Arabidopsis thaliana: one gene and its partners. The protein of the gene in region 3 interacts with the protein of the main gene of each other region in a pairwise test. Each region holds a gene or a part of one and is shown on either strand. Other genes may lie near its edges. The genes, in order: CYCA2;1, CYCD6;1, CDKD1;3 and ICK5.

What was found.
Region 1: the proteins of CDKD1;3 (region 3) and CYCA2;1 interact in a protein complementation assay, tested with the Arabidopsis thaliana proteins (one large-scale study listed by BioGRID).
Region 2: the proteins of CDKD1;3 (region 3) and CYCD6;1 interact in a protein complementation assay, tested with the Arabidopsis thaliana proteins (one large-scale study listed by BioGRID).
Region 4: the proteins of CDKD1;3 (region 3) and ICK5 interact in a protein complementation assay, tested with the Arabidopsis thaliana proteins (one large-scale study listed by BioGRID).

What each region holds. Positions count from the first base shown.
Region 1 is NC_003076.8:8,813,280-8,818,490, reverse strand, and holds CYCA2;1 (cyclin a2;1), read right to left. Parts: upstream 3,262-5,211; coding exon 2,971-3,261; intron 2,885-2,970; coding exon 2,743-2,884; intron 2,678-2,742; coding exon 2,538-2,677; intron 2,432-2,537; coding exon 2,339-2,431; intron 2,224-2,338; coding exon 2,090-2,223; intron 1,898-2,089; coding exon 1,822-1,897; intron 1,725-1,821; coding exon 1,648-1,724; intron 1,552-1,647; coding exon 1,518-1,551; intron 1,432-1,517; coding exon 1,282-1,431; intron 1,200-1,281; coding exon 1,065-1,199; coding exon of another isoform or gene 1,059-1,064; exon of another isoform or gene 985-1,058; coding exon 925-984; downstream 1-924. UniProt on the Arabidopsis thaliana protein: May negatively regulate endocycles and act as a regulator of ploidy levels in endoreduplication.
Region 2 is NC_003075.7:1,430,867-1,435,941, forward strand, and holds CYCD6;1 (Cyclin D6;1), read right to left. Parts: upstream 2,996-5,075; 5' UTR 2,826-2,995; coding exon 2,625-2,825; intron 2,527-2,624; coding exon 2,443-2,526; intron 2,370-2,442; coding exon 2,274-2,369; intron 2,193-2,273; coding exon 1,985-2,192; intron 1,915-1,984; coding exon 1,784-1,914; exon of another isoform or gene 1,698-1,783; coding exon 1,509-1,697; 3' UTR 978-1,508; downstream 1-977. Other genes in the region: AT4G03260 (Outer arm dynein light chain 1 protein), read left to right, coding at 1-565.
Region 3 is NC_003070.9:6,206,074-6,211,751, forward strand, and holds CDKD1;3 (cyclin-dependent kinase D1;3), read right to left. Parts: upstream 3,456-5,678; 5' UTR 3,227-3,455; coding exon 3,128-3,226; intron 2,983-3,127; coding exon 2,684-2,982; intron 2,598-2,683; coding exon 2,489-2,597; intron 2,389-2,488; exon of another isoform or gene 2,073-2,388; intron 2,060-2,072; coding exon 1,934-2,059; intron 1,781-1,933; coding exon 1,545-1,780; intron 1,466-1,544; coding exon 1,208-1,465; intron 1,104-1,207; coding exon 1,055-1,103; 3' UTR 798-1,054; downstream 1-797. Other genes in the region: AT1G18030 (Protein phosphatase 2C family protein), read left to right, coding at 52-141, 247-294, 495-605; AT1G18050 (SWAP/surp RNA-binding domain protein), read right to left, coding at 3,889-4,169, 4,412-4,482, 5,193-5,515.
Region 4 is NC_003070.9:18,364,721-18,369,067, forward strand, and holds ICK5 (Cyclin-dependent kinase inhibitor family protein), read right to left. Parts: upstream 2,025-4,347; 5' UTR 1,855-2,024; coding exon 1,561-1,854; intron 1,443-1,560; coding exon 1,390-1,442; intron 1,305-1,389; coding exon 1,119-1,304; coding exon of another isoform or gene 1,115-1,118; exon of another isoform or gene 1,042-1,114; coding exon 972-1,041; 3' UTR 616-971; downstream 1-615. Other genes in the region: PREP2 (presequence protease 2), read right to left, coding at 3,685-3,829, 4,088-4,159, 4,256-4,347. UniProt on the Arabidopsis thaliana protein: Binds and inhibits CYCD2-1/CDKA-1 complex kinase activity. May target specifically CDKA-1.

The DNA of each region.
Region 1 (5,211 bases), on a different chromosome or scaffold from region 3:
AAAACTCTAAAAAAACACAAATTCATAGTAAAAAACTAATATAAAGTTATTAACATTCGATTGACGTTTCACACGATTGTTTGTAAATTAATCGTGATTTCAAATTGTAATTAATTTTGTTAATTTATATAATTATAAAATAGTTACTGAGTAAATTCACTAAAGCTAATTTTACAAATTTGTGGACAATGTTATTTTAATTGTCCATTAAACTTGTTTGAGTGCTATTTTAGGATATTTCTCTATGATATATCGCTCCGTTTATTTACGACAAATATACGTATAATTCATCTTTAGTATGATATTGTGAAAGAAATAATTACTTGTTAATGGAAAGCCAAGTTTTCAACAAATTTTGTCTTTATAGATCTTTGTTTAAATGGGTATCAACTAGGCTTTTCACTCAAGACAGGAAAAGGTTGGCATAAGAGAGAAAACCCAGTTTGTATTGTTTTAGAGAATCTGGTATTGCTTAGGTCGAGTTTCTTGAACAAGAAACAAAAGGTTTTTCATATTTGTTTATTGTGAAGTTTATTTGGGCCCAATGGAATGTAATTACCACTGGAACATCACTTGGTAACCAAAACTAAATAAATATACAATGGCGCATGAACACTTGCTTTTATTAATGAGTCTACAAAAATCTATAACATTTTTTTACTGTGAAGGACAAATCTCAATGAGTCAAAATTGTGTTTTGGTTGATACAATTTTCCATGAGATGGCACTTCTTTGGAAGCACCTGACACTAACAACAGTTACAGGTAAAAGATAGACAGACAACTTACAAGGAAAACTATTCCATAACTGTAGAGACCAAAACTGATGTCTGAAACTAGGATTGATGATCACCTGATACAAACTGCTGAAGCCAGAGAGTTGTGCTGACTTGGTCATATCAGGAGAATCAGAAAATCTGCGGTTTCATCTTGAGAAGAGTGTGTTCACACGTTCAGGAGATGTTAATGTTGCCACTCTTTTAAACTGTCAAATATTCATATAGAGTGAGAGAGACCAAATTCAGATTCAGTGTCCACTTTCTTAGATTGAATTTATTATTATACCTTTTGTTGGTTGTATTTGGTGTGTATAGCGATAAGAGTGCTTCCACTGGTGTTGAGCTGCAACTCCTCCATTGCAAGTACCGTGTTTTTTAGAGCGGATGTTTCATATCTTGTATAGTGTTGTAGAGTTTGGTTCTGTAAGCAATAACATTCACATCACCAAAAATTGTTTCAATGAGGTAAAAACATTCATAATGAGAAATATGAGCTCACTCACCCAAGGATGGTTAGATTGGTCGAGTGTCCATCTTGCTAAGAAAACCGCTGAAGCGGCAATTAGGGATGGAAGGAACCTTAGGAAAGTATATTCTGTGAGAGTTAGTTCCGCGAAATAGTTGGCTAAGTACTCCATTTCAATGAGAGGAACCTGTAAACCAACAAAATCAGTTTACTGATTCCAAGTTATTTCAAATGCTGAGAATGATTAGTGAAATGTATCAATGTAAATCTCACCTTATCAGACGCTTGAGCGGCGCGAATGAACCGCCTGAAACAGAGAAGAAGAAAATGACTTTAGAATGTTTTGAAAACGTTAAAGAGACTATGTTAAGTAATGGTGCATTTTGATGTGTTTAATGATTACCTGAGAAACGTTTTGGTGGTGGGAACTGATAACCGAAAATGAAGAGAGTTTAAAACTTTAATCTCCATACTTAGTACCTGAAAAAATAGTGTATTGTATTTTTTGTTAATCTTTTATTAAGAATGAATCATCTTAGCTGAGAACTGATAGAGATGGAGTCTGCATGTTAATTACTTCTAGTCTTGTGTATGTATTGTCTGTAATGAAGCAAAACTCCTCCAACCGCGGTGCACTAATCTCTTCGTATTTGCTTCAACAAGGAGGAATACCTTAGTTACTTGAGAAGTACTAATCTGTAATTATTAATTTAAGTATATATTCCAGAGTAAAACTTGCTCTAAGTATGCAATGAGAGCAAACATGTGTTCCTCTGTGTCCACTGATTGTTCAGTTTTACTTTCATTGCATTGTGAATGAGGAAACAGTAAAAGTGGTAACTCACGAGGCTATTAACATGCAAGTGATACCAAGTAGCTGGAGCTTCTGCTTTTCAATGTAATTATGAGACATGAACCGATCAATTAGATTCACGGTAAGGTAAAGTGTATCTGAAACCAACTTGTACTCTTCAGAGACCTGAAAGAAAAGAGATTCTTAGTTTAGCAAATACTTTGAAAATAACACACTTTCAACTTTTACACAAGTTCAAGTAAAAGTGTAAAACTATGCATAGCAAATATTGTATTCCTACCTCCACGAGCCAATCAATCAGAATTCCGCGCATCGTTGGATCGATATCTCGCTGCACTTGCACCATATAGCTAGTTGAAGGTCTTTGTTCAAGCTGTACAAAAAGTATTGGTTAATATAAGTAACTCAAAATCTCAAAATGTAAATCATCTTTTGGGAAGATAGAATAAGACCAAGCATTGAGATTATGTAATGCAAACCTCTGCAACATTAATGCTGTCATATATACTTGCAGCATATAAGCTACAAAACTGAGGATCTTGGACACCTGAATCTATATCTACAATCTGAACACAATCTGTGACATCAGATCTGTCTTCTTCTGCACAATCCACTAATTCTTGAGTAAATTTGAGAAACAAACACTCTGGTACAAACACATTCTTTAGTAGTGAAGTTTCTTACTTTGCTTTGAAGCAGATGCATCTAAAGATTCAACCATTCTAATCTTTGACAAATCTTCTGCTAGTTTAGATTTTTCGCCATCCACATCTACCAAACCATCTTCTTCTATTTGCTTAGTTTCTTTACCACCTCGCTTGCAAGCCTGCCACATTGTATCATTAACAACAAATTCTAAACCAAAACATATACGAATCAAGAAAATGCAAAGAAAGCATAAAAATTTGCTACCTTAACATTGCCTTCTGTAGAAATTATACTTTCTGCCAAAGTGTTAGTCACATCCTTGAGCACCGCTCGTCTTTTCTGATTACAAACTGTGATATTATCCGATGCCATTCGTTTATTACTCGGTCTAGCAACACGCTTCGTTTCATGTTTAAAAGCGGGTTTTGATGGAGAATTCGACACTCCTAAGGCCTTAGCTCTTGATCTAGTGACTCTCACATTATTATCTCGAATTTTCGAAGTAGAGATTGCTTCTTTCTTCGCATTAGTGTGCTTAGAAGAAGCTCTATGCATGATTTCAAATTATAAAAAAACACTCCACTGATTCAACAAGCCAAACCTGAATCAATCAGAGTTAAAAAATGTTAGCAAATTCAGATTCAAGAAAAATCGCATGCTCAATTAGTGAGATCAAATCTCAACTTCATAAACTTGAAAGAAATTGAGTGGAAGAACTTTAAACAAGTAAAATCAAGTTCCCAACATTAAATTTCATCTTTGACCCAAAAAAAAATTCTATACAAAAAATCACCTCCACGATCATATTTCTTATTATTGATCATTTTTCTTAAATGTTTCCGTGACAATAACAAGAAAATAAAAACATAAACACAAACATGATCAAATCATTGTCTGAATTCGGTATATGTTTCCGTGATCAAATCATTGTCTGAAACATAAACATACAAACAAAACAGAGAGAAAAAAAAACCACAAACACTTAGAAAAATAAGAACAGAGAAAAAAACAGATCTACAAACAAAAAAACTCAAATTACGAACAACAAAAATAAATAAACATCGATCCAAACGAGAGACGTGTAAAATGATGTGATACCTTTGTCACAGAAAATCGAATATAGAGAATGAGAATGATCTACAACAGCGAAGAGAGTGTGTGTTGAAATAGGAGGAGCGTGACTGCGTGAGCGGGATTTTGTGGTCTCGTTTCGAAATTCAGATATTAAAATTTTTAAAGTTGAAAAACAAAAGAAAAGAGAAAGTGACTTTGGGATTTGGACAAATGATAATTTTTGGATTTTTATTGGGAAGTAAGTGACAGAGTGGTTTCTGACACTTTGACGTCTGGTCTTGTAGTTGTGGTAAATTCTCTTTTTTTTTTTAATTTGGAGATCTAATCAGCCGTTACGCGCTCTATTCTATGGCATCTGTTCCTTACTTTACTATTTGAGTGCCCCATTGATTAAACCGTTTCATAACCTAAAAGCCCATTGGACTATTATCACAAACTATTCACTGACTCTAACAAAAACCCAATCTATGTTTTGTAAAAAAAAAAAAAAATCTAATATTAAAGAGGAACATAGTCACCAAAGAAAAGAAATTGGTGTTTGCTTCATTGTTAAAAACTATTAATTACAAAATAAAAATTTACTATTCTTTCTAAATTTGGAGTCTAGCTTTAAATTTGGCAGACATATTTCCTCTTCATGTAGGCAATATAATTTTACTCTTCATACTAAAGTCTCTTTTTTTTTTAATATCAAAAAACTATCATGTAAGAAATTTCTTAAAAATTTAAATTAACAGGTAGATTATCAATCAAAATGTTTCAATTGATACTATACGTATAATACATTATCATTATCATTACATTATTTTTAATTTTTAACTAAATTAAAATTTTAAAATTTGTTTTCACGCTATTTCTATTGGTAAGTTGATTGTTGAAGAATTTAAAGATTTCAAAAGTTTAGAGATTTTAAAAGTTTTACAGATTCTTCTCAGTGAGTTGTATAAACTCTAGCAATGATTTTCATGGATTTTTTGTTTATGGCTAAACAAAGTGTTACTAGATAATATTTTTCCATGTTTTTGTTTTCTTTATTTGTTTTATTTTACCATTGTTTGGTTTATTACACTAAATAAATTTATAAATCTCATATAATATAAATCGTTGACATATTTTTTGTATTATTATCAGTTTTCATAATCGTTAATGTAAAATTTATTAATGTAAAATATTACTGTTTTTTATGTTAACAAATGAAGAGATACATGAGTTTATCAATTTTGAGAGAGAGTTTGTCAAGAAAGACTTTATTCATCAACAAGCAAACGGAGTTGATATTGCTCATATGCGAATCCTGCTAGTCACTTCCTTGCTTGGACTCCTCAAAAAGCTTTATGTCTTTGAGATATATGAGGTCAAGGTTGAAAAAGAGAAGAGAGATGCTTCTAGAGCAATGGTACTCTTGATTAACAAGAATCCTCACTACAAAAA
Region 2 (5,075 bases), on a different chromosome or scaffold from region 3:
ACTATACCTAGCTGGGAACAAAATCAGCGAAATCGAGGGTCTTCATCGACTTTTGAAATTGACGGTCCTGGATTTACGCTTCAATAAGTTTTCAACCACCAAATGTCTTGGCCAGCTCGCTGCAAATTACAGTTCTCTTCAGGCTATAAGCTTGGAAGGTAACCCTGCACAGAAGAATGTTGGTGATGAACAACTGAGAAAGTACCTTTTGGGACTTCTGCCAAATTTGGTATACTATAATAGACAAGGCACTAAAGATGCTCGGCTCGGGACAAGCACACATCAGTTGGACCGAGGCCTTAGATCAGAGCTCAAAAACAGTAGCCGGAAGAGTAGCCATGGTGCATCCAGTTCTCACAAACCTGGATCCTCCACAGCTCGTAAAGCACCAGCATTGCAGAAACGGTCCAAGGAGAGACGCAGCCGTCTTCCACCTGTGGGACACAAACTATCTCCAGCTGCTTACGAGAATTATCACGTTGCTACTGGTGATAGATTGTCTAGTCTGAGAACTGAGCTCTCCATGCGAAGAAGTCGAAGTGAAGGAACTCTCGGACCTATCTGATCTCTCTCTCTCCCTCTTTCATTGCCTGCGATTTCCTTAGCGAGGTAACGATGAAGATGTGATAGATACACACTTTCTTCCCTTTATTCATCTTCTTCATCTTTGTGTTTTGTTGTTGTGCATTACATACATCAGAAGCTTTGATTCTTATAGCTTCTCAATAATGTCTGAAATTGGAAACCATGGTATACATTCTTTTCAGCACAGTCTGAGTCTTGCAATTGTTTTCATTAAGTAATGGGCTTGAATGGATCTTGTATATCACAATCTTGGGCCGTTATGATGCTAGTGGGCCTAATATGGGTTAGTGCAAGGGATTCATTTACAGTAAGAACAAAAGCAATTGAATGATTTAAAGACTGTGTAAAGTGGTCCAAAGAGTATCATATTGCCTGCCTGCAACAGAGATTCTGGCAACTGGATCCATATAAGTCGGATAACGAAGTCTCATAAGACAAAATCTTATTCCTGAAAATTGAATTCATTGTTATCTCGTGACCACATTTGTTCATTAATAAATAACATAACCATAGGGTTATATACACTACACAAGAACAATATTTATTGATTATTCCCCCCAAGTGAAACAACTTAACTCCACAAGCCAAAACTGTAAATACAGAACATGATTGATAGGTAGATAGATAGATAAATACTACAGACTGGTAATTTGTTTTTCTTTTGAATTTTTTGAGTTTTGTGTTGTGGTCCAAAGGAACAAGCAACGGAACAGAACCCGAGACTTTGTCTTTGATCATTCATCACTCTCTTGTCTTCCAGGAAGAGAGAAATGGTTTATTTTTGAAGCAGAAGAAGATGGATGGAGATAAGGGGAAAGGAAGCAAGTGTCATTTTCATAAGGGGACCAGAAGTGGTTTTTGAAGTAGCTAAGTGATTGATTTCATCTGACGATTATGTTTGACCATTAACCACCTTTTTCAGCTTAGTAACGACGAGTACTAGTTTTCCTCCTCTTAGGTGAAGAAGAAGCTGTGATTGTGATGCTCTTATCGCTTTCACAACTCGAGAATTGCTGATCAAGCACATTTACTGCTGTTTCAGTGCTTCCTTCGTTTTCTCCAACTATAATATCTCTCTCTTGTATTGCTTTGTAACACTCCATTAACTCATCCTGCAACCACGGTTTAATGCTCGCTTAGTACCGCGATGAAAAAAAAGCTCGATTTGAGATGGTTTACTTGTTCAAGACTTCTTTACCTTATTTACATATGTGCATTGGTTGATTCTGTTACTGAAACATGGAAACTGTAGAGGACAGAGCTCGAAAGAAGCAAAGAGAAGTGCCGCGCCTGCAATCACCGATGGTTTAAACTCGAGGAAACTGATATCTGCAGCGTTTTCAAACAGATTTTAGCATATTGTGATTATGTGATTGAAGAAAAGCAATTCTGTATTTACCATGTTGAAGACTGAAAGTAAGATCACTGGTTTGAGATTTGAGGGAATGTTTTAGTAGTAAAGGATCTTCTTCTTTGAGCTCAAAGAGACTAATGAAAAAGGCCAAAAAGGAGAAAGGAGTAACAGAGCGCATCCTCCATTTAAGAGCTCCTAGAATCACATTCTCCATTCTCTCTATCATCTGAGCATCAAAAAACTCACCTTCCACCTGAAAAAAATCCAATGTTCAGACACTTATCAACACTTTAAAACACATTCACATTATAAAGATTCATGAGTTTTAAGTTACCGGAAGATCAGAAACAGACATGTCTGGTTTCCTCATTTTTGCAGACAAAGAGACACAAGAGAGAGATATGAGCTTAAGAATCCAGGGCTTTGACTGCTGTTGACAAAACAATTTAGTCAAAACTCAGATGAAACAAAGGACAGATTCTGTCGGAAGATTCTGTTTTTACCGGCATATCTTCGCTAGACAAGAACCTGTCTAGATAATTCACAGCAAGATACGTCAGAGATGGGTCGTCGAATTTTCTTGAATACTGCGATTGTTCAGTTACAAATTAAAATAAAGTTAAGTCTTTCGATAACGATTCAGTATTCAGAACTAAACCCAGAAAATAATTTTGGTTAAAAAGACCTGAGTGATTGAAGAAATGGCTTGGTTTCGATTAGAGAGAAGAAAAGCAGAGGACTTGAGGCTATGGAAGTAATGAGAAGAAGGCATGTGTTGAAACTCGACGAGGAAGAGAGAGTGTGGTAAAGTTTCATAGTCTGTGTCGTCGTTGAAGTTATTGTGGAGTGAAGAATGTGAGAGAGGATGTTCAAGATGAAACTCCATTGATTGATGATAGACTCTTCTTAAGCTTCCTTCTTTCTTGAATTGGTGTTAGAAGATGAAGAAGAAGAGAGAGGGACAGAGAGACATTAAAAGAGAGAAGTTGTCTTTATTGTGAGATAGAGAGAGATGGTTTTCGGTCTTTTGAGAGATTTTCCACATTTATTTATTACTACCACTTTGGTTATTTTTTTATTCGATTTTTTCTCATTGATAGTAAGAATTAAGATTTTATCAAAGATAATCAAATCTTTTTCAAGAGATTCTTCTTTTGCAATATTAGAAGGAAAAAAAATCCAATATTCTCTCTTAAATTCTCTATAATCCTCTGTTTTTAATTAAGTGTAGTTCAATAATTTTTTATTTTTTTCAATATAAATGTTGTTTTCACTTTTCTATGCAAACATTAAATGTATTTAATAGTTTTTAACCAATTATATTTTGCATCATATTTTTTTATTGGTTGGATTAGTTGTAATTAATGGTGTTTTTATAAGAAATAGATAAATTAAATGAGATTTGTATGTTTTCTTAATTTGTATGCAAAAACCTTAAACTACAAATATTCATAAACAGAGCCGTTTGTATTAAAAATTTATAACCGTAAATTATTACTTAGTTGTTTAAAAAATATGTAATACACTAATACGTGTAATGTTTTTATTAGATTTTATTACAAATTAAGTCAATAATTCAATAAATAAATAAAATTGCATTTTAGTATTAATATCAAGTACCAAACAATTAAAAAATCATATTGAAAAAAAAACCAGCATAATATATATAGATATTACATTTTGTTTGAGTTTTAGATCATGTAAATTTAGTATCATGCTAAAAAAAAGTTCTTCTATGAATTTTGTGTGTGTTAAAGTTCTTTCATGAATTTGGTAAGACCCAACTTTAAAATATACTAAGGCTGGGGAGATTAAATATGATAATAACATATACTATCGTTAAACCATTTTATTTACCACATAAAGTTGTCATTTACTCATAAATAGAGCTGATGTAATGTACAGTTTTATGTATCAAAAGATTCGTCACTTTGGAATCTCGTCCAAACAGTTACAAACATTGATTAACTTTAGAAATCTTTTTAAGTCTTTGTTTTGTTTTTAATCATCATTGTATCACACATTTTAAATTACTAATTAGGTTGTGACAGCTTGGTTTTCCTTGTCCTTAAGTCTTTGTACTTACCTTTTGTTAGGTTTTGAAATTCCCAACATATATATTCAGATTATTTTTTTTAAGTCAATAAAGAAAAATTGAGAAGTCAATGAACAAACTGCCATGTGAAAACGCCATTTGAACAAACTTTTTGTTTTTATTTTTTTACTTTGATCTTTTACTGCCAAAGCCTGACTGGTCTATTTTTAGACGGAAAAGAAAACATTAATTTTATGTAGAAAATGTGAAATGCAAAGGCCTTTGAAACTCTAGATATGAACGAAATGAAAGAAAACATTGACTGACCTAACAAACATAAGAATTTATATGCTTGTAACGTAAGAAAAAACAGCTTATTAGTTTTTGGGGGTATTAGTATTTGTCCAAAAAAAATGTTTTGGGAGTATTAGCTAATAAACAACAGAAAAGTGTTGATAATAATATAGTTTCTTGTTTTTTAAACAATATAATAGTAATATGTTTCATAGAGAAAGAGTGACAATTTTTTGTTTCTTTTTAACAAATGCCAGATTTTGAACCACTTTAAAGAATAAAAAAATATTAGATATTTATTGCAAAAGAAGTAATTGAATCAAAAAACTTTTAAATAGTGGAAATATATACCCTAAATTGGAAATAAAAACCCCAAATATAATACTACAAACTAATTTTAAAATGAAAAATCTCTTTTAAATGGTGAAAATATATACCCTAAATTGGAAATAGGAAACCCAAATATAATACCATAAACTAATATTAAAAGGAATCAAAATTTTTTTTAAATAGTTAAAATATATACCCTAAATTGGAAATAGAGAACCCAAATATAATATTTTAAATTTATTTCTAACTTATTTTGGTTGAATAGATTTTATATAAAATTGTGGTATTATTATTGTCCATAAAATTGTGGTATTATTATTTGAGTGCTATTTATGTCTAAAAAACCTTTTAATGCTATTTTTATCCAAAAAACTTAAAAGTGTGCTATTTGTAGGAATTTCTCATTATAAAATGGGTACTAGTGAAGATTGAACAAATATATCACCTAAATTCTCAAACCAACCTACTTTGTTTGAA
Region 3 (5,678 bases):
ATCCTAAAATCTTATGGTTTATTCGCATCTAACGCAAGTTATTGAATCTAGTTTGGTGTCAGTGCAACTCCAGACATTCATGCTTTTGAATTAACTGAGAGAGAAAACTTCATGATTCTTGGTTGCGATGGATTGTGGGAAGTAAGTAAGCTCTTCGTTTGTGGTTTTGCAGTGCTCTATAAGAACATTTCATTTTGTCTTTATATATCAAAGTTTGCTGCTCATACACAATGCAACCGTTTTCAGGTGTTTGGACCAAGTGATGCTGTTGGATTTGTCCAGAAACTTTTGAAGGTAAATACCTACAGTTGTCAAAATCACTTTGTCCTCCATTTCACACTCTCTTTAACTACATAGAAAGAAGCTCAAAAAACAGATGTTTTTCGGTAGCCATGTGAGCAAAATGGCTTGTTAGAACCTTGTGCACACAAGTAAAGAGTGTCAAGGGAAATTAAATGTGAGAAACTAAGAGGCTAAGAACTATGATTTTGTAGGAGGGCTTGCATGTAAGCACGGTAAGTCGCCGTCTTGTGAAGGAAGCTGTGAAAGAACGTCGTTGCAAAGACAACTGCACAGCAATCGTGATAGTCTTCAAGCGGGTATGACTAAAGAAGAGCCTGACTGACATGTGGGCATCTGTTTTTCTGGCTCGTATGTGTTTTATAAACCTGTTGTTGGTATTTGGTAAAATCTTTTTGAGCTGTCAATGGATCAATTAAATTCCTGGGGCCACCATCGAAAGAAAAATGAGTTTGAAGATTAAACAGAGCTCTCTTTGTACCGCAAAGAATTCTAGAAGCAAAAAGTAGAAAGCTTTATAATCATAGACTTCATAGTACAGTATGATCAGTTTACAATGAATAAAAAGCCTATGGGACAACAAAATATTATCATTGTGAATCTAAGGTCCCTCTGGTTTGTAATCAAGCTAAATATGGAAAAGAATAAATCGCCAGATTACACAAGCAGCAGTAAATTGACAACTTAACAATGGTGTGGTTTCACCAGAACATGAAAATGGAGAAGCTAAGAGAAGAGTGCATAACCAACAGTCTTACTGGAACTCAAGATCGAGTTTCCTCTTCAGATGAGATCTATCAGCACTACAAATTGAACAAGAAGAAGTCATTAAAACACAATCAATCTTGAGGCTGTAATGACAAATGAGATTAATATGCAGTGAGGGAGAAACTGTCTTGTTTTTTACCTGGTGATTGTTGGCCTGTTTGGAGGTCGCTCAGCGAGGATGGTAAAATCTAATGACATGGGTGCTTGTTGATCCTTGTCAACATGAGACTTCAAACTATCAACCCTCCCACGCTCAGGCATCACTCTTCTAAGCTTACGTGGTGGTGATTGCACTGTAATGGCCTCATGTTTACCGTAAGATGATTTACCATCCTGCTTAGGAACGGGCTTTGGGAGCTTAGCCGGGTCAGTAGGAGCAGGTGCAGAAGTGAAGTACCTGAAATAATGAAAACAAAGGTGTGAGAGCAGAACGCTAGATATACTTTGCCTATAAACAGATGGTGAACATTAGGCACCTGTGTTCTAGAGCCTGCTTAATGGAAATTCTAGCCTTTGGGTCATAGGTAAACATTTTGGACAACAAGTCGAGAGCATCATCACTAACTGCTGGGAATAAAGAACGTAGAGACGGTGCAGGGACAAATTGATACTCTACATAATCTGGAAGCTTTGTTAAATCCGGCCACTGATCTGCTTTTGGTGTCCCAAAAGCAGCAAATATTTTGCTTAATTGATCAATATCACTGTTTCCCTGCAACGGCAAAAATAGAATAAGTAAACATACCGAGAAAATTGATAATGAATATGTAATTATGTAGTCTGAGAGTGAGTATAACATCCAAAGAGATGACAATTGGACTAAAGTTTTAATGGTAGCCATTAGATTTGAGTAAGATTATTTAACCTGAAGAAATGGTCTGCGTAGTAGAAGTTCGGCGAATATGCAGGCAACGGCCCAAACATCAACTGCAGCACCATATTGTTTTGCACCAAACAAAAGTTCTGGTGCTCTGTACCATCTAGCAAACACCTGTGCATTATCAGATATATCAAGATATGAAGATAATATAACAACTAGAAACAAGAGAAAATAAGTTGCATTGCGCATTTGGAAACAGAGCTCACATGGATTCTATTGTAATTTTGGGTGTTCAAAGGGAAACAAAGAAGGCAGAAATAGCTCAGGTCAAAAATCCGGTTAACAGCAAAACTTTTAGTACAGATATGAGATAGCTACTGCACCATCATTTAATATGAGTTGAGACTGTTTAATACATGTTACATTTAGTATACAACTAGAGAAATGAAAAGACATGAGACATCTAATCTTCCTCATCCCTAGACATAACTACTGATAAGAACTACTTAAAACTTTCTTATCAATATTTCATATGAGTTAGTCGATCAATTTGGTTATATTACAGCAATAGATAAAATGGCAATGCGGCAAAAGGCATACCTGGTGGGTAAACTTACGATTTGGACTACCAAATATACGTGCTAAGCCAAAATCTGCAAGCTTAAGCTGTCCATCAACTCCTATTAACAAGTTATTTGGCTTCATATCCCTGAACTCAAGCCACACATAATCAGTGCCCAAACCAAGCAACATTACAGAGACAATAAGCAAGTTGTTAAGGATAAACAAATGTACCTGTGCAAAACCCATTTATCGTGGCAATAAGCAAGTCCTTTAAATGTCATTAGGAGGTAGGATTTAATGTCGGCGGGTGAGAGGAAAATGTTAGAATCGCGAATAACTGCTTCGAGGTCAGTCTCCATGAACTCAAAGACAAGATGCAAGTTTTCCTTGTGAGGAAATGCATCAATGAGCAGAATAATATGAGGATGCTTTAGCTCTTTGAGCATTTTGATTTCTCTGAGAGCTGTAATATTTACACCTTCTCTTTGTTTACCAAGCCTTATCTTCTTAATTGCTACAGTTTGTTCCGTCTGCAAAATTACACCCCACAATTACTTCCCCTTGATCCAACAAAAACTTCAATCAAAATCCGGAACCAAAAAAGAAGGAGAAATTAGGAATTGCCGACAGATCCTAAACCCTAATTTTGCAAACAAAAATCAGCAAAGATATGACCTTAGTATCAGTGGCTTTGAAGACGACTCCATAGGTACCTTGCCCAAGAACCTCTTGCTTGAGATACCTATCAGCAACTTTCTTTGGCTGCTCCGGCATTTTCGGGTTTTTCAGAACCCACTCAATAATCGCGCCTCTCTCTTTCTTCTTAATTCACGTCGCTAGAATTCGATTGCTTTCCGATTTTTATTCTAAATTGAGTAAAATCGACGATGAGGAAGATACCGGGAAAATTTAGGGTTTCAGCTTTGAGAGCTCCGGCTCCGGAGAAAAAGTAGCCGTTGGCGCGTTTGCAGACGCAATCGGCTAATCGAGGGAAACAACAAATAAAGAGAAACGCCCAATTATTTACTTTTCTAGTTTTTTATACATTTAATATCCAAACATTTTCGATTTATAAAAGAGAAAAATATTATTTAATATCTAAACTTTTAAACAATAGCTAAATTAATCGTGAATTTTTGATTTTTTGAAATGACTGTTTTATACCTCAACAAATTTAACCTATAACCTATAAAGCATATTAGCAATCCACGTGTTTTTGCTAGAGTTTAGCTGATTTCTTAAGAGCTATCGTTGCTGTTTCTCGTCCATATCCCCTTCCTTGATAGTTTCAAGCTCTTTGCCAGTAATCCATTCAGGGAGTATAGCTGCATACTTGCGAGGTGGTGGAGGCGGATACTTCATTGTCGGCTTCTGGTCACTAGCAAAGCCCGGAGGAGGTTTTGGAATCTGAAGCGGTGGTTCCCTTACCCTCACCCTCAATGGAACATCAGGTATCCCATAATCACTAAGTTTGATCTCAGGTCCCTCATGTAATTCTGCGCACGGTATCCAGCAAGCTTTTTCTGGTAATAAGCATGATAACGATCTGAGCTCCAGAAGAAGGAGTACTTTGGGTTTCCCGCATAGCTTGTCATCATCTTTCTCTCCATCTCAGGCCCCTCCATGAAAACCAAACGGGCTGAGCTATCCGCATAATATCTAGTCCTCGGAGGTACATCTGCCGGAGTTCGATTGCAAATCACTCGACATCTCTTTTCTATACAAAGAGAAACACAAAATAATAGATAAAGTTAACCCTTGATGACAAGAGATGCAAAGAGATCGATTGAATGTGTTGATTATCACTTGACCCTGAGCTCTATATGACTATATTTATACAAGGGGTAAACTACCAAGAAAACGAATTATCTTCCTAAACGTAAATATAAGAAAAGGCAAAGATACATATCCAAGGACTACTTAGGGTTTCGGAGAGAGATAACAAGTACCGTACCTCACCCACCGGAAAGTAACAGCCACGCCGCGAGAGCCACAGTGACGTCGTGAACGAACGAACTCTAGTTCTGAAGCTTGGAAATTGACAATTGCAAATCAACGGAGAATATCCTCTTAGAACAAATCCACGGAGCCCTATGCGTAGCCTAGCACTTATAGACGAGAAACTTGTGCTCCAGGTTTTATAATGGGCCTCTGTTATTCGGGCTTATAACTTCGGGCCATATTTACTTAATTTGAAGTTAAATTCGGTTTTGGGTCGAGATTTTGGGTTTTAGTTGTTTTTTGTTGTGAGAGACGTCGTTTTCCATTTTCACCATACATTATCTACTTAACCGGTAAGAACCAAATCATACATACATGAACTGTTATGTTATAAAACCATTCTGTTTAACATCAGAACATTACGGAAAAACGGTCTATTTCCCCATGGGAACTATCGCATCTGGCTAGATGAAGCCCGATCTTTGACCTCTTGCTATTTACCCATGAAATGAAAGTTAAACGTCTATTTCCCCACCAATTAAAAGTTCAAGAGCTTAATGTCCCCGAATCGTGGTTACTTCGGTTTGATACGTAAACCCGAGACGAAACCATATTATCGGTCAAAACCAAACCAAAAAAACCCGGATTCGTTTTTAAAACCCGATCCATTGTCGAATCCCAAATCCAAAATCTAAAACCCCAAACTCAAAACTCAAGAACCCTAAATCGATTCCCAATTTTTTTATTTCCAGTTGAAAGATGAGCAATCTGTCATCAAGTTCGTCGGGATCTACAGGACCTCGTGGTCGAGGAAGAGTGGTTGGAGTGCCAAAGAGATGTTGGATTATGTCCAGTTCTCAGAGCATAATCTATAACCGCCTCTTTGAACGCAACTCCACTGAAGAAACTCTGCTTTTGGTACAAAAACCCATCACCACGCCTCACATGTATGTCGGAACTGTCGTCGGCTCCTTCACCATCGCTCTCCGGGTACACGTCGTGGCGAATTGGTGGTTCGTCGGTCCACTCGTTTAGCATTTCTTCCAGGTGAAAGTTATCTCTGTCTTCAGCTTCGGGATCGACATCACCATCAAGATCGGGGTCGTGATGGATTAACGACATCCCGACATCGATCGATCAAAGTTTTAGGGTTTGGAAAAACTGGATTTGAGGATTCGTCAGGTTAAATTAGGGTTCGTCGGGAGAGAATTTGGGGATTTTTTTGTTTAGGTTCGAGAGTCGGGTTACGGGTCATAATTTTGGTTTAAATTAGGTTTATTCTGGT
Region 4 (4,347 bases), about 12 Mb from region 3:
TAAAATAAGAAAAGAAAATTAAAAAAAGGGAATATAATCCCAACGGAATCAGGTAATGATGAGATCCTCTCTATTCTCTTCTCTCTCTTCCTTTTTTGTATTCTTGCCATTTAAAGTTTTAATTTTTTGCCGTAAAGCTCATTTATAATTTGAAAATTAAATTTCAGAAAGAAAAAAAAACGTCAATCATCGAGAAAGCTTTCAAATTTGCTTCTTTTTTTTTGATAAATAAACATTCAACTTTGTTCATAAAGTTTTCTTGATAAAATAATAAAATAAATTATTTCAAGGAAATTAGAGGAATATTCATTCGAACTATAGAGAAAGTACATACCAAGTGTATGATATATATATACCGTTATGGTTTTCTAATTTTACCCATTTTCCTTAAAATCTATATTTATTTTCTTCTTCCTATTACCATTATTGTTTCACTAAAACAATTGTCGAAACAAGAAAAATAAAAAAGTTATAAAATAGCATATAAAGTACAAGCAACAAAAAGAAGAGAAAAAAACAATTTCTATAAACATCCAAGGTGAGAATCAAAACAATAAATAGTTTTCCAAATTCATAAATACGTAAATCCTCCCAATTTCATGAAAATACTAATAATGTGCACAACACCAAATTCACTACAACAAAACTGACAAAAATTAGTGAAACTTTACTGACACAATAATTCCAATTTTTAATTGTTGTAACCCCACTTTTTTTGTTGAACAATCCAACAATATCACCGAGACAGAGAGAATTAAACTCAAATATATGTTAACACTTCTAGTTAAAAAAAAAAACTCTTGGTACGAAGAACAGATGAAGATAATGATGAAATTAAAATTAGATAAAAACTGTACAATGAAATGTCTCTAAAAATTCTTCTGTCTGTGACAAAAATCACAGTACTAGGACGTGTAACTTTAGCACTGTCTCTTCTTCTTTTTCTTTTTTTTTTTGTTCTTCCATGGCTTCTAAGGTTTCAGACTAACCCACTGGTACCGACCTTCAAGCGGCGTATCATTGACGATGTCGTAGTTGTACCTATACATGTTTTAAACAACTGCAAGTTAAGGATCTCTGCTATCATGCGCGTGTGTGTGGGTCTAAAAAAGACTCACTTTTCTGTGAATCGTTTCTGTTCGTATCTCTCCGCCGCCGAGAAAAAGTCATCAAGCTCTGCCTGCGTCGGTGATTTTTCCATCTTCTTCTTCTTCTCCGTCTTTCTCTGATCTCTCATCTCCGTCGTCGCCGAGTCCATTTCTGCTGTTTCTCCCAGATTCTCGCTTGATGAAATTCCCTGTTTCCTGTGAAATTCCAAAAATTATGAATTTATAGACGAAACAATGAAGAAATTGAAAAATCTTTGAAACGTCTTTTTTAGTAATTAACCTGAAATTGTTGGTGAGTAACGTTGAGATTTCGGTTTCGGAGATTTCATGAGCCTGAAAACGGAAACAAAATTAATTAATCCAAAAAAACGTAATCAGATCTTGCTCAGAGAGCATTTATTGTGAAACAGAGAAATTTCAAAATTTGTAATCTCGAGTTTCGAAATTTCACCTCCAGATCTGAAAATGGAAGACGAGTAGCGATTTCGTTAGTTTCGCTGCTGGAACAACCAGAGCTGATGCTTGAGCTTAGATGATCGTCTTCTTCTTCAGATAACGCGACGGAGCAGAAACCTCCGGAATCTGAAACCGAGTAAGCCAGAGAAGAAGAGGAAGAAGAAGAAAGAGTTCTCGTCGGTGAGCGTAAAACGTCATCATCATCATCGAGTCTCATCCTCTTGATGTTTGATCCTTCGTACTCAGAATCTCTCTTGGGTTTTGTTTCGCTCATTTCTCTCAAGCTCATTATAGTTTTCTCTGGAGAGAGTTTATGAAAAAGTTGGGGTTTCTCTGGTTAATAAAAACAGAGGAAGGGTTTTGGGTATTTGGGGGAGAGGAAGATGAAGGATCTAGAGCCGTTGATTAATTCAACGGCTGAGATTTAATTATTGGGCCTTGCCTATAGCGGATGGGCCGTTGTTGTGCCGGTTTTGAGTGGGGTCCTTTAAACTGAGTCCCGTTCACGGGGAAGCAGGTAACGGCGTCGTTACGGAGCGTAGACGCCGTCGGGATTCTAAACGACGCGTCTTTTTTGCCGTTTTTAGCTTCCTTTTAAAGCAACCCAAAACTAAAACGTCGTCCTATAAGCTGTAGAAATGTGAGTTGTGACAGTAATTTTTGTTAATTAATCTACTTTCTACTATAGATTTCTTAAACTTATATTCTTTTACACGTAAATACATTTGTCAAAACAAAAAAAATAATTCTGATGGTTGCTGATTCATAATTTCTATCATAAGCTCTAAATATCAACTTCTTAAGGATATAACTAGGCACATAGATTAGAGTCTAAAGCATTCACTTTCTTATGAGCAGCTTCACATGGAGACAGAACTATAAATACAATCAATTAAATAGTACTTATTAAATGACAACAACAAAAAACCAACTTAAAATCCAGCTTTTACATGGAATCTGTACATGTCCAAAAATGGGTTAAGAATTTTACACATACAACATGTTTATTTCCTTCTAATAAAATGGGACCATTTTCGTTATTTTTTGGCAGTGAAATAATGAGCAATAATTGACCGTTACATAATAATTGTGCTAACAAGCATTTACTTGGGATTTTTTTTTTTTTTTTTTTAAAGTTACACATGTACAATATCGAAAATATGAAATATTAGAATCTAGGCTTCATTTTGCAAAAAATAAATAAAAAATAATCTAGGCTTCAATTGTCCGATTCTGCTTCTTCAATAATTTTAAAATTTATCACAAGAAAAAAAAGAAGACTCTTCGTTAATTTTCATCCATAATAATGATGTAATCAGAATTTTCAAGGATAATGGTAAAAGGATGAGACGAAGAAGATTCATCAATACAAGTATCTTTGTTTATGGGCTAATTTACAAAAGTTATCTTTATGAATCAATGTTAATAAAAAGTAACTTTAAAGACTAATTCACTTATAAAAGTAACATAGAGATCTTGATGCCAATGTCCTAAAAGAATAAGCGTTTCAATTTCACTTGGAAATGTTTAAGACCTACGACCTACTTCAAAAACACAAACAAAAACAAATGAAGCATGAGTAGTCACATTAGATAGTATGACAATAACAAGATCACGACACATGATGAATAATAGATGCATCTTTTGTATGACTGAGAGCCATTTGTTTTAACAAGAACAGGCACTGTTCGATCCGATCCCAGCCAATGATGAATATAATGTCTATTTTGACTCATCATTTTCAACAAAATGTGAATCAAACGAAACTGGTTTTATAACCTAAAAGGTACAGGAAAATCCTCGAGAGCTTATCTTGATACGATAATGGAATATAAATAGAACTAGGATTCTTAGTTCTTAAAGAGCAAAGGCTAAAACGAAAGAAAAATTGTCCAAAAAAGTAACAACTCAAATGCAACAGTAGCTAAAGCCTGTGTTTTCAGGTAAAAATGCTAAATTTCAACTGTGATAAGTCATGATGTTGGCATATATAACTATACAAAACACAGTGAAGTAAAACACAAATAAGTACGAGCTTAGAGATTTGATGCGTCGTACCGTGAACCTAAGAAGAGTCATTCCTCATTGTGACAAGCTACTTTCTAAGAGGGTCTCAGACTCAGAGAGCTGCTTTCTTCACCTCGAAAAAATTTGAGCGTTCTCTGTTTGCTGCATCAATGTCTTCTTGTGATGCCACGGCCACTGCAACGCCTTTATCACTAACAGAGTCTATTGCCTCTGCGAATTCCTTGAAGTCCTTCAAACTGAAAAAGGATAAAATGGAAGTTACTTTTCTTATCTGTTTGATAATAACTATGTCGAAGAATTGCAACTGGCTATTTGGTAATATTCAAAGAAGTCGTTAAACTCCTAACACTACAAAACTCAGATCACAACATTGTCCCCAAGGATTTCATAAATCCCCACAGGATATCCGCGGCATACCATTATGTGGAAAGTGAAAAAGTTGTATAAATTGATTTGTATATACGCTAAAGCAAAAATGAGAGAATGCTGTTAACCTTGTAGATAATATCTCTTCACGCCTTATTTGCCTCTCTTCGTCGGTTACATTAAGTAAATGCCTCAACAAACTGTTGATAGAGATGGGAAATTAGATTGAAATTCATTACATTCCTTGAAAAAAAGCCAACAAAGACCAGAGAAGAACCCATAAATAAACATCATACCTGGTATAACCTTTGGCATCAGGGAGTTGGTATGAATCGACATCGCCAATTGTCCCAATAATTGCTTTGGTAAGGGTGTCTTCATCGACATC